2 linked regions of the Bombyx mori genome follow. The protein of the gene in region 1 interacts with the protein of each later gene in a biochemical or structural test. Links are inferred from orthologs where the notes say so. Each region holds a gene or a part of one and is shown on either strand. Other genes may lie near its edges.

Evidence for each region.
Region 2: the proteins of origin recognition complex subunit 2 (region 1) and origin recognition complex subunit 4 form a complex in vitro, tested with the Drosophila melanogaster proteins (3 studies listed by BioGRID, with this or other methods). The link is inferred for Bombyx mori from reciprocal best matches to the Drosophila melanogaster genes Orc2 and Orc4.

Annotation. Positions count from the first base shown.
Region 1 is NC_085115.1:9,007,017-9,013,669, forward strand, and holds the end of origin recognition complex subunit 2, read right to left. Parts: intron 6,202-6,653; coding exon 6,113-6,201; intron 5,649-6,112; coding exon 5,478-5,648; intron 5,311-5,477; coding exon 4,779-5,310; intron 4,354-4,778; coding exon 4,120-4,353; intron 2,248-4,119; coding exon 2,048-2,247; 3' UTR 1,966-2,047; downstream 1-1,965. UniProt on the Drosophila melanogaster protein: Component of the origin recognition complex (ORC) that binds origins of replication. DNA-binding is ATP-dependent, however specific DNA sequences that define origins of replication have not been identified so far.
Region 2 is NC_085108.1:2,850,368-2,857,158, reverse strand, and holds the start of origin recognition complex subunit 4, read left to right. Parts: upstream 1-2,805; 5' UTR 2,806-2,951; coding exon 2,952-3,161; intron 3,162-3,823; coding exon 3,824-3,949; intron 3,950-4,546; coding exon 4,547-4,769; intron 4,770-5,608; coding exon 5,609-5,833; intron 5,834-6,737; coding exon 6,738-6,791.

The sequences.
Region 1 (6,653 bases):
CAGTCTCGGTACATTGCAATCATCCAAGTAGGCTAGTTGTCATTCATGAGAGTGATACGTCACCATTTGAGGCTCGACTCACTTTGCTTTCATTCTAGTGCAAACTCTGTTTATTCAATATAAAATGAAATATTTTCTATCATTGATTAGTGTTAATGTTCATTGTGTGAAATATCTGTAGTTTGTTGTCTGAAGTTGATGTTTTGATTAAATTGTTTATGTAATCTTTTTTTAATATTCTATTGACATGCTTAATTTTAGCCTAATCATTGAAACTGAAGTGCATGATATAAATATGTATAATCTAGCTCTCATATGATCTAAATTTCTGTTTTATATAAGTTAGATTTAAGCTGAGAGAAAATTAAATTATGAAAGTATTTAAGCCCTTTCAAACCATTAAAACACAATAAATTATAAGTTATGGGCTTCACCTACATTATCGACCAAATTAGACTGAAGAAATTGATAAAAATGGAATGGGAATTACTGGCATTGTGTCAATTTGGATATAGATAATAAGTACGTTAAAAAAATTGCATACAATACCATTTGTTGCAAAAATCATCTTTTTAACCATGTTTGGTCTTTTGTCTCACTTTTAAAAATCATCTTTCACCAGATTACTGGCCTGCAATAAATAAATACCTTATATAACAAATATTTACTATCATCCAAGAGTAAAATCCATTGATTACAATAACATCTTCAGTAGGTATATATATACAAGGAGGTACCATAAAACTTAAAAAAAGACTATGAAAACCTAAAAGTTGATGTTAACAAAATTAACTGGAATTTCGAAAGGGCGTTATGTGAATATCATAAAACAATTAAATTAGATAAAACCTTTGAGTTCAGAGAGTATTTTTCTACAATATTTTTAAATCTAAAATGAGCAATGCACTTATATCAATGAAGTGTTTGGTTGATGCATCATGGTGTATGTGCCAGATATGTTGAAGAGAATTTTAGTTAATAATTTTATTATATTATGTAAGTCATTAAGTTTAAGTAATTTACAACTTGGTCTGTTGATATATATTATATAATCCTATTAAGACTTTATTTCTGGGATTGTAAAATAAAAATTAATAATAGTATTTGTTTTTTTTTGTTTATGATAAACTTTTATATTTGCGTATCAGAACTAATGTCTATATTCCAAATTTAACCTTGACCATAAATGGTTCAGTCTGACATTTTTCCCTAATTCCCTAATTTTTCATGTTAATGCTTAATATTTTTATTGCATAGACTGGTGGACGAGTTGACAGGCCACCTAGTGTGAAGTGGTTACTGGAGCTCATAGACCATCTACAACGTAAATGTCATCACCCACCTTGAAATATAAGTTCCAAGGTCTCGGTAGTTACAACGGCCGCCTCACCCTTCAAACCGAAACGCATTGCTGCTTCACGGCAAAAATGGGCAGGGTGGTGGTACCTACAAGTGCGGACTCAAGAGGTCCGACCACTAGTAATTACGCAAATAATAATTTTGCGGGTTTGATTTTTATTACCCGATGTTATTCCTTCACCGTGGAAGTCAATCGTGAACATTTGTTAAGTACGTATTTCATTAAAAAAATTGGTACCCGCCTGTGGGAATCAAACAATCGCATCGCTCGACACCAATGCACCGCACGTTTTATCTCTTGGGCCACGACGACTTCAAGAGCTCAGTGATTAGTGAAGTCCATTGGCATCAACAACACAAAAGCAAATGTTAGATGCCCTTGGTCTGTTAAAAGTCAGAAGCATGTGGAGTAAAATTTTTGTGTTTACCTTCCATCGCCTCGAATGAAATCCAGTTCCTCGAGAGCTTTGAAAATAATTTTCAACGATAGACATCGGCTTATGCTTCTGACATTGTTCATGTCATTGAGCAACTGACTACACACTATAAGATGAATTATAGGTAGATGAAATATTGGCTGTTAAAAATACGAAACATCAAATAAGGTAAAGAAAAAACAGACTTTTTTTTTAATATTTAATAAATTAAAACTCATGCTTGCATGCGGTTATGTACATCAGTCGAACCGTTAACTTGTTTGCTGCTCTAAAAACTGTTGTAACAATGCATTATTGATTGGTATCATTAAGTTTTCACTGCCGTCAAGAGTTCTCTTCATTTTAACGAGTTTGTGGTCTAAGAATTCTGTCAACTGTGCTCTGAGAGCTAAGTCAGAGCTGACCAAAAATTGTTCACGGCATTTTGAATAGAGATCCTTAAATGGTAGTCCTGCAAACAAAATTTCAGAGTTACAGGTGTTCACATTAGACCATAACCCTTATTTTACTAGGTTATCTTTCACTAAGCTGTATATTCTCCAGATAGAACATATCGCTTAGGTAACGGAAACGTTTCAAGAGTAGGACGCTCAGTAAGACCGGTGTGACGGTTATTTTATATTGTCGCGTATAATATTTATTGAAATAGTTTCATCAAGATTTTTATGACGACATAAATAAGTAATGACATTACATTAATTAAACTAGTAGTAGCAGCAGCGTATACTAACGTACTAGTGTGACGTATGCTATTGAAAAAAAACGAAATGGTTTAACTCCTCGTATTACTATTGGAATAATTCAAACCGCTTTTAATCAAATTCCATCACGTAATTTTTTTAACTATAGTCGTATTTTCAGTCAGTTCTTGTTTTTTTTTTATTGCTTAGATAGGTGGACGAGCTCACAGCCCACCTGGTGTTAAGTGTGTTAAGGTCTCAATATAGTTACAAAGGCTTTTTTTTTTTTTTTTTTTTTTCGGGCCGGGGGCCGAACCTCCTACGAGGTCCCCGCGCCTAGGGGGCGCGCGGGGTATGTGAGACTCAACGATCTGCAGGTGTTGAGAGCAGATCGCGGGCCCAAGGATTTTAGGGCCCACCCACTAAACGACTCCCCTGCACTCTTACACCCGACGTCCGATCTCCGTCCGGGGTCAGAACCCGTTCAGAGTAGGGGGGTTCCCGCGGTCAACACTACAACCAGACACGCGGCGCCACCCCGAGGACGCCCGACCGACGGGTCGTCGAGGCGATAGTCGACGACCAACGACGTCGGTCTCCGCGGTACGGCGGCCCTACCAGGCCGCCCGGGCGGTGCCGCTGGTGTTCCGGGATACCCCGCTGGGCCAGAACCAGCCTGCCGGGTCGGAACGCGATACACCGCCGACCGGGTTGCTCTTCAACAGTATGTTCGGCGACGACAGCGACGACGAAAATGCGGACCGCATCGCAGTCCGCAGCCGCCGACGCGCCGTCCCGTCCTCCTGGTGCCAGCGCGCTAGAGTGACGGTAGCGTGCGGCGCAGCCTCAGCCCCCTTAGGTCGCCCCGTGACCATCACCGGGAGGAGACTGCCTCCTCATAGGGGCTGGAGCTGGACAAACGCCCTCCTCCGAACCCCGGCTCGACGGCGGCGGCACGGCGCCGAGAGGGAAGAAGAGCTCTCCCTCTCCCGTTCCGCCGCCTCCTTCCGCGAGATGGTGGACTCGCAGAAGTCGAGCATCGCCTGCCAGGACTCGTCGCTGCCGAGCATCGTAGCCACGACGGTCGGAAGCGACAAGTCCGGTCCTATTTTTGCAACGAGGACGCGGCGCTGCTCCGCGAAAGCGGTGCAGTACGCGAGCGTGTGCTCCACCGTGTCCTCGTTGCAGCCACTGCAGTGGTGGCACTTCGGCGTCGGCTCCCTCCGGGCGACGAGGTGCAGGTAGCGACCGAAACAGCCGTGTCCCGTGAGCACCTGTGTCGCTCGGAAGGTGAGACGTCCTCGGTCGCGATAGTTACAAAGGCTGCCCCATCCTTCAAACCGAAACGCATAACTGGTTCACGGCAGAAATAGGCAGGGCGGTGGTACCTAACCGTGCAGACTCACAAGTGGTCCTACCACCAAATAGTCAAATTGTCAAAACAAATACGATATACTATTTTTTTTATTTTCATATTTTATCTTAATTGTTTTGTTGGTTCTTATCCAATGGTCTTGCCTTTTCTTGCTACTGCCATTTATATCATGTCGTGACACATCACGTCAGAAATGGCACTTTAGCGGAAAGCCTATTTTTGTTTTATATAATAATACATAGTCATAAATAGTATTTACAAGGCTTACCTTGATAATGGGCTTGCTTTTGATTTGCTAATTGATGTTCAATAAGGATAGTGAAAATCCCTTTTGAATTCGATGTTAATGACTGATAAACGCTCCTGAGTGATGATAATTGTAGGGCGCCACTTTTGTGTGTCATTATAGAATTCTCGAAGGAAGTTTCTTCAGTATAAGGAACAAACGAAGTTACATCCCACCATGAAAAGTTGTATTTACTCAATTTAGAATAGTCCCATACTGAAAATTGAATTATTCTGCTTAATTAATCGTTTACGTGGTGTAGCGCTTTTTATATAACTTCAACGCTTGCGACGAAGGGCTCGGCGAGTATATTAGCCCACAGACACGGCCCACTCGCCGGATCTTCTCAGTGGTTTGCGTTTCCGATCTGATAGCAGATTCTGCGAAGCACAGCTCTTGCTAGGGTTAGTGTTAGTAACGTCGTCAGGTTAGAGCCCCGTGAGCTCACCTACTAGACCGGTGACAATGATATGGCCTCTCTAGATCATCAGCGTAGGTAGGAAAAAAACAAATAACTTCAAAAACTAAATTAAGTTTTTAGATTAATAATCACTTGCAAAAGTTAACTTAAATGCATATTTTAATCAAGTACTTTCTCATGCTAAAATTGAGCGTTTAAGAAAAAAAAGTAAGGTACTTACGTAACGGGGCATTAATATGATCGATCGTTGCAATGGTGTGCACATTCTTTATCTGAGATAGACTAGCCAAAGTAACTTGTGATTTAGAATTTCTTAACATAGGTCCATCGATGTTGTTTACTATCAGAAATAGGTCCACGCCATTTTCTGACAGCTGACTGTCAATCAATTTTACAACGCTGCCAATATTGGACGGTACAGTTGTATTCCCTAGTAGATCTACGACGATGCTTTCTAGGATATCCTTAATGGTGAGACTCGGAAAGAATCCATTTACCATTATACACGGAAACTTGTTCAACTTCTCAGCTTGAAACTGTTGGAGCAAAGTTCGTTTCGATCCTATGCCGTATAAAATAATACTAAAGTTTTCACTTAGTTCATACAGCCATCTGTCAAAGAGCTGTCGATGGTTATAGTTGAGCTCTGCTATTTTTTTCCTGTGTTCTGTTGATATATGTACAGTATCTGGAGAATTATCTTGAATATTCATGTTTTTCAATCTAGCAAGAGTGTGATCTGATGTGGCTATCTGTAATATTATAAATTTCTTTATTTAGACAATATCAAAGTAAGTTCAAATGAAAATCAATTAAAAATTGAGCTCGAATAAAAATAAAGCATCAACATGAAATCAATACAATATTGTATGCTGATAATTCAATAATTCAATTGGTATGAAGAAATAAACATACTAACTTTTTTACTAGAATTCATCATAAAATAGTTGTCAGGTTTTACGATGTATTCTGAATCCTTAATTTTCATTTTATTGTTCCTGTTTCTGGTGATTTGTGTTTTAACTGAATCTTTCCTCTGAGGTTTCTCATCTTCTACTGATGTTGATGATGATGATGAAGAATCAGATTGCTGCAGAAAATATTTTTATTAAAATAGTATATAGTATTTTCTTTGACATTCGAGAGTTGTAATCATTTAAAATGGTAATGGTTACAGTTTAATCACATGTTAAATAACACCTCAGTTGTCTGATGACCATGAAAACTCAAAGAAAGAAAAAGTTTTTCAGTCATTCTATCCTAAACAATAAGACGCCCAGTATATTTGTATCGGGTGGTGCTAAGTAGTAAGCAGGTACCAATTATCTAATGATATATGTATGTACAAACTTAACCCATGGCCATGATGAAGGAATAGCATCATACAATAACAGTCAAACAATAACAATTTACAATCTTTGTTTTTATTAATATGCAATTGAGGCATAGAACTCAAGGATCTGAGGATAAAAAATCCTGGCGTAGAGGAATTATAAGAGCTGGCCCAATTTAAAGTGGGAAAAGGAGTACAAAACTTCAGTACTATCAGTTTACCTCCTCATTTTCACTCTCATCTGGAACAAAATCACTGCTGCTTCCAGAAAAATCACCAGAACTATCACTGTCTACTTCCTGAATGATTCCTGAAAGAGATGTATGTAGTATGTAGATAACATTTGAGTGTACTCCAGTATATTGAGTATTTCAACAAATTTACTAAGAAAAAAAACTACCGGCTCATTACAATTTATGATCATTCTTAATTTGGGCCAACTGTTACAAAATCTTTGAGACTTCAACCTCATGTCAGGTCATTGGCATTGGTGTGTAGGTGGTCTCTTGTTACCAGACAATTACCAAACAGGCTCAAGCCATATAATACAAAAAAGGAAAACTCTGTCCTAACGTTAGTACTCCCAAAATTGCAGTACTTAATATGAATATAATAAACATCCTAGTGTTCATTTTATTCCTAGAGAACTGTATAACAAATATTATTTATTTCAACTTCTAATGTATTTGTTTTAACTTGCTTTTATACACGTATTTATGTTAAGAACTAAATTCTATTTTGAAATGATCATATGAATATCTA
Region 2 (6,791 bases), on another chromosome or scaffold:
TCGACTCATTTAAAGGTCATTCCAGACTTAAGACCACACAAACAAACAAACTTATACTATGATCCCAGGAATGGGCTGATCAAATATGGATAGCTGGTATGTTATATGCTGGTGAAGTAAAGAGATATACCAGTGAAGTCTCTCACTAAAATCTTGGCTCTCAAAAAACAAAACTCCATAAATTCTAGACTTGTTTAAACATCTAAAGCCAGACTAATAGTTTCCTACCAAATATGGCTAGGCAGGGAGAGAATGGGGAGAATGAAGATAAGTATAATGAACATAGATAGGGGCTCCTTAAATTTACGCTAGGGTCACAAATCCAGTGTCATTCTCAACCTCCTCTCTCAATAACACAATGGACCTGTGTAGTGAATCCATAAATTGTTAGTTTTATTTATTAGTCTCATATGTATCACAATAGTAAGAATGTTGTGTGTGGACTTTTATGCATGGAAAACAAACAGTCATAATACAATGCATAAAACAGGACTTACAAAATATAAAAGTTAATATTCTAGCCTACATACTTGCCTGTAAATTAAATGGAACAATGCGTTATTGGCTTGTGGATGATTCATAATTTTAATTAATCTGCACATAACATAGTCTCGACTGCAACATAAACTTTTATAATTTAATATTATTTTGTTTTACATTGTATCTTATGGCTGTTTGTTATCAATGTTTGTGGTCCCAAACAAGTTTATTTTGAAAACAAACTGTTGTAAACAATTCAGACCTGCCAATGCTATGCTTAACAACGGTGTTGTAATCTTACAACATAATGAAAATTGAAATAATACGCCACCTATCTGCTATACTTACTTTGAAATAGAAAACTGAAAATATCCTGGCTGAATAATTAATTAGTACAGGAGCTTGAAAATCGGCACACACGACAAAGCAGTGATCTGTGTCTCTAAGTTTCAAATCTTTTAGTCTAATACAATCGATCAACAAACACTTTTGTAAAACTATTTTTAAAAGACCATCGTGATAAGGCTCTCTAAACTCAAGTTCTTTGTGAATAAAATCTATACAAATGACACTTATTTTGTGTCTGTTGGATCATCTATGAATAAACATCAAGAAAGACAAAGAAAAAGATATTGTCAGTTAAATCAAAAAACTATCTCTGAACAGGTAGATACACAAATAATCTGTTCATTGCGTGCCTCAAACCATCTTCAAAATATTTTCTAAGTTTGGATCGATAGTGTTGTCCAATAGCTAAATTTCCTAATAATATAATACTATTTCACTTACTGATCTGAGTGAGACATCAATTTATATTAAGCTAAAAGAGTAACGTATCGATTCACTAAACACCGGTTTGCTGTGAAATTGCGGCATTGACTTTGAATAGTGGCCTTGAATGAATGCGGGTATGAGAATTCATGTCTGAAGGTAAACTTTGTGCATATTTTGGTGCTATGATGAAAATGTAATCATATTAATGATTCTGGCGTTAAGCTTAAATACTATAACTTACAATTTTTAAGCTTAAAGCAATATTGACTTCCTCTATTTAGGTACTTCTTTTTTTATAAAATTCAAAGCTGTGCCAAATTGCTGCTGCACTATAACATAATAATTTATAATACAAATTACATTGTGATTATTTAGGGCTCGTGTCTTGTGCGAATTTGCTAAATGAATTTAAGTGGTTGAAACCTGCTGCACTAATTAAAAACTCTCATTTCGGAAAACGCACGACGCTGCATCTATAATTCTGATATTCACATTGTTTTTCGAAAATATTTTCACTTTTTTCCATAAATGGTTGGGTGTTCAGCTACAATCCACGGTGCAATTTTTATAGTTAATAAACGAACGAATACGAAATAAAATTTTGAAAAACTTTGGTTTGTTCACTTTTTAAGTATAATTTTTTACGATCAACTTCTTAAGAAACAAATTGAATTAATTTCCAGATTGTCCCAATTTTCAATAATATGAACGGGTACACAAAAACCGTGGAATTTAAGGTCATGACGAGGACTAAAGATTTATTTTTAGAAATCGTCAAAATGCGAGAACGGGACAATACGAAGTTTTAGGCAATGTACACGAGAATTAAATCCAGGGATATGAATACAAATATTTCTTTGATCGGTTCAAGTTCACACGTTCTCCTATATTCATATGAAGAATACTTGTAACTACTATAAAGTGCTTAAATACTTAAGTTCAATAAATATTTCACGTTATAAGTTTTTAATTCTTAAGGGTGTGAACTAAAAATGTAACTATTTGTTAGAAGAAATTCGGAGCTATATCTCGATTTTCTTGTTATCATATGTTTCATTTAGTCTATTGATTAGATTTCACGAGCATGCGCTCTTTTACTTTCATGCCATAGACATTTTAAGAAGTATCATCTACTTTAAAAATTAACGTGCATACTCCTGAGTTACAAACACTTTTCTTTCATTTAAAAGAGTCACTGAGTACTTGCAACGTACAAGACTTAAAATTGACGCTATTATCTATTTTATTTAAACAGAACGAAACATGCCAATTTATTTTCAAAGTTTCTTTTCGATACATCATAAAAGCCATATTTACTTGTAAACTCAGCTTTATGCACATTTATAAACTAGGAGCAAAGTAGACAAAACGGGTGAATACGATTTAATCTCAAAATGTGTAGTTGACATACTTAGTATGGAGGGTAGAAATATCTTTACCTCCGTAATACTTAGTAGACTATGGTGAACAATCAGTAATCTCAAATATATTAAGTGTATAATCTATGGTGATTATTGAAGGACATCTCTAATTGACAGTGTCAACTGTCATGCTGTTTGATGTTTCTTGGGATGACATTTTATGCCGCGAAAATTTCTTTTTGAACTCATTTTAAATATTTATTAAATAATTTTATGCTTCGATGTATAAAGCTAAAACACTTCACAAAATAATCATAAATAACATTGTCTGAGAAAATGCGTGGATCAATGGATACAGACCCGTTGGCTATTCAAATAAAACTTGTAAGGAAGTACATAAAATTGAAATTAATAGAAGACAATGTATTGTTTCGGGGGCACGACCAGGAAAGAAATCATGTGTACGAATTATTAAGAAGAACTGTCTTACAAGGAGAATCGCATTCGGCTTTACTTATAGGGCCGAGAAGTAGTGGAAAAACCACTGTAAGTTCTTGTGCTTCAATATACAATTCGCGGATTTAATTTACAATATTTTTAAATTGTTTTATGTCCACCAGCTTAGCACAATATAGGTGATTGTGGCCGCTCTCAGCTCTTCATGTGACAGATACATATGTGATAGATAGGTATATATAATGCAGCAAGATTTAAGAGTGGTATGGTTTACTGTCAGTCTATTTGGGTAGGTATGTTGGATTCTGCCTATTTTTTATGAAGTAGCAGTGCATTCCAGCGTGGAAGCTAGGATGATTGTCAAACAATACAATTCTGAATTCTACCTGACCCATGAATGATATTTTTGTTCAGATCCCATCACTTTTATTATTTTCTTTATATTTTCTTTAATAATGTATTGCTAGTAGTACATAGCAACATACCTGCTATATCTTTATCTTTTCCAGAATTTCTGTATAGTTAAGTGGCTGTCTGGAAGAGATCTCTTGATGATGAGATGATAAGATTTGTACAAATGGATCTGCTTGTTGACTGTTTTCTATTGTTAATTGTGTTTTGGTGTGCATATAAAGTATATTCTCTCTCTCTCACTTTCTAGTTACAATTTAATATAAGGTGAAGCAAGGGCCTCTGTACAGAAAATGTTATCTGTTGTGACCTTTCAATAATGGTAAAACATTTCATTTCAGCTACTAAACTCGGTACTTCACCAGCTCTCTAGAGAGACAGATTTGGAGAATGATGCTATTATAATTCAACTGAATGGCCTTGTACATAGTGATGATAAACTGGCCCTTAAAGCTATCACAGCGCAGGTGATTGAGGCCTTTTTATGAATCTAATAAAAATGTCAAAAAGAATTCTATTAATGTTTGTTCAATTGTATTCCTGTATAGCAGGAAAGGTTTTTCTATTATATTTTGTTCTGAATAGGATAGTGAATTGTACTTAACTAAAGACCATTGTGTGTAATAGACTAGACCAGTGTTTCCCAACGTGGTGCCCATAGCCTACAAGTTGGCAATTTGATAATTAAGAAGGGCAATTGCATTAAATCAATAAAGAAAATTGTATTGAAATTATTTTATTATGCTAAAATTATGTATGGGGGGCATAAAAAATTTAAAAATGTTACAGTGGGGCATGGCACAAAAAAGGTTGGGAAACACTGGACTAGACTGTAATAATATGATAAACATGGTGGTTGACTCTTCACTAATGCATTGGATATGAGAAAAAAATCTGTAGCCAAGGTCTTGGTAGGGGGACAACACAATGGCAAAACCTTGGCCACTTTTGAAGCTTGACTACTGGTGTCTTAACCACAGTATAATTAAAGGCAGGCTTAACTAATCTGAATTAAATTGAAGCCTCACCAACTAAGATGGACTCACCTACACTATTCTTTACAGATGCAATTAGAAAATACTGTGGGTGAACGAGTTTTCGGTACCTTTGCCGAGAACCTCTCGTTTTTGTTAAGCTGCATCCAGACTGGTGTTGACAGACGATGTCGAAGCATGGTATTCATTCTAGACCAGTGTGACATGTTTTGCCACAGCGGTATCTCCCAGACATTACTGTATAACTTATTTGACGTAACTCATTCACAGACGGCTCCTATGTGTGTTATCGGTAAGTTCGCTGAGATTGTTTTTGTTGTTTTTCTCAGAATATGTTATAATATACGATTGAGACTGGCCTTTGGCATCACTGTGGTGATGGCATTAACATTGCTACAGTCCTTGCTTATCCTTTAATACATGTTGTGTAGGTTATCCATCATAGGCATTAAAATGCGACTTAATCTGCTTGTCACGTTTTAAAATTAATAATGTATCTTCACTTCATACTATCACACATCTATACTAATATATAAATCTACAGTGGTTTTTACGGATGTTCCATTATAACTACTGAACCATGCGTTCGATTGACATGAAAATTGGTATCCATGTAGAAAATACATGTACTTAATGGATAGGCTAATATTTATATGAGTGTTGGACTTACTGGTGGTAGGACCTCTTGTGAGTCCGCACGGGTAGGTACCACCACCCTGCCTATTTCTGCCGTGAAGCAGTAATGCGTTTCGGTTTGAAGGGTGGGGCAGCCGTTGTAACTATACTGAGACCTTAGAACTTATCTCAAGGTGGGTGGCGCATTTACGTTATAGACGTCTATGGGCTCCAGTAACCACTTAACACCAGGTGGCTGTGAGCTCGTCCACCCATCTAAGCAATAAATAAAAAAAATAAAAAAAACTTCCTACACCAGTTGCGGGGGCGTTAATGACGAGAATCTTTCTGGGGGTGAGAAATAATAATAATGCCTAGCTAGTCTTAAATATATTTGGTATTTGATGCCTACTTGTTTCTATGTGTCTTTCCATTACCATTAACACAGGAGAAATCCTTGCTCGAAGATGTTAAATCTTCATTTCATTAAATATCATGCTTCCTTACTGTGCACAGGTGTAACAAATCGCTTAGACATTATGGAGTTGTTTGAAAAAAGGGTCAAATCCCGTTTTTCCCATCGTCACATATTCATATTTCCTAATGAAGTCAATGATGATGACCGGTATGATATTATCTCGCCTCTGGAAGGGAGAAAGAGATTGTTTGTGGAATTGCTGAGTCTGCCCCTGGAGGGTTCTGTGTCGCCGAGGAAGAAAAGAAAATCAAGGAAGTCCATCGGTGAGCTAATATAATTGCTTACGTGATATTCTATACTAGATTATATTTCATCCCACTGCATTGAATGCGTGTCCGCACATGCCGCCTCATGCTTTGTCGCCGGAGAAGCAGTGGCCGGAAATCTAATATTTGTAAAGTAGATAATAAGTTTTGCTTACACATTGTTATTAGATACCTAGTTTTTTTTTTTCTGTATAGAAGGAAAGATGAATTAATTAATAATAATAATAATGATTAATAATGACTTTTTATTTTTTTATTGTTTATTTGGGTGGACGAGCTCAGAGCCCTCCTGGTGTTAAGTGGTTATTGGAGCCCATATACATCTACGATGTAAATGCGCCACCCACCTTGAGATATAAGTTCTAAGGTCTCAAGTTTAGTTACAACAGCTGCTCCGCCCTTCAAACCGAAACGCATTACTGCTTCACGGCAGAAATAGGCAGGGCGGTGCTACCTACTCGCGCGGACCCACAAGGAGTCCTACCACCAGTAATTACGCAAATTATAATTTTGCGGCTTTAATTTTTATTGCACGATGTTATTCCTTCACTCTTCACCGTGGAAGTCGATCGAGAACATTTGTTGAGTACGTATTTCATTAGAAAAATTGGTACCCGCCTGCGGGATTCGAACACCGGTGCATCGCTCGATACGAATGCACCGGACGTCTTATCCTTTAGGCCACGACGACTGTAAAATTAATGAACGAGCGAATGAATTTATGAATGAGACAAACAAATTTCACAGGTCTAGTCACTTTTGTTTTATAGAATACGATTTCCTTAATATTTTAAATTATTCTGTAGCAATGTAAATATCCTTAAAGGAGGTCTATATCCAGCAGTGGATGTCCAATGATTGATGTATCGATAAATAAATTAATTTAGTAACATTTTTTCAGCCAAAACTGATGAAACGGCCTGCACATCCACAGTCTTTGCAATACCAGAACATA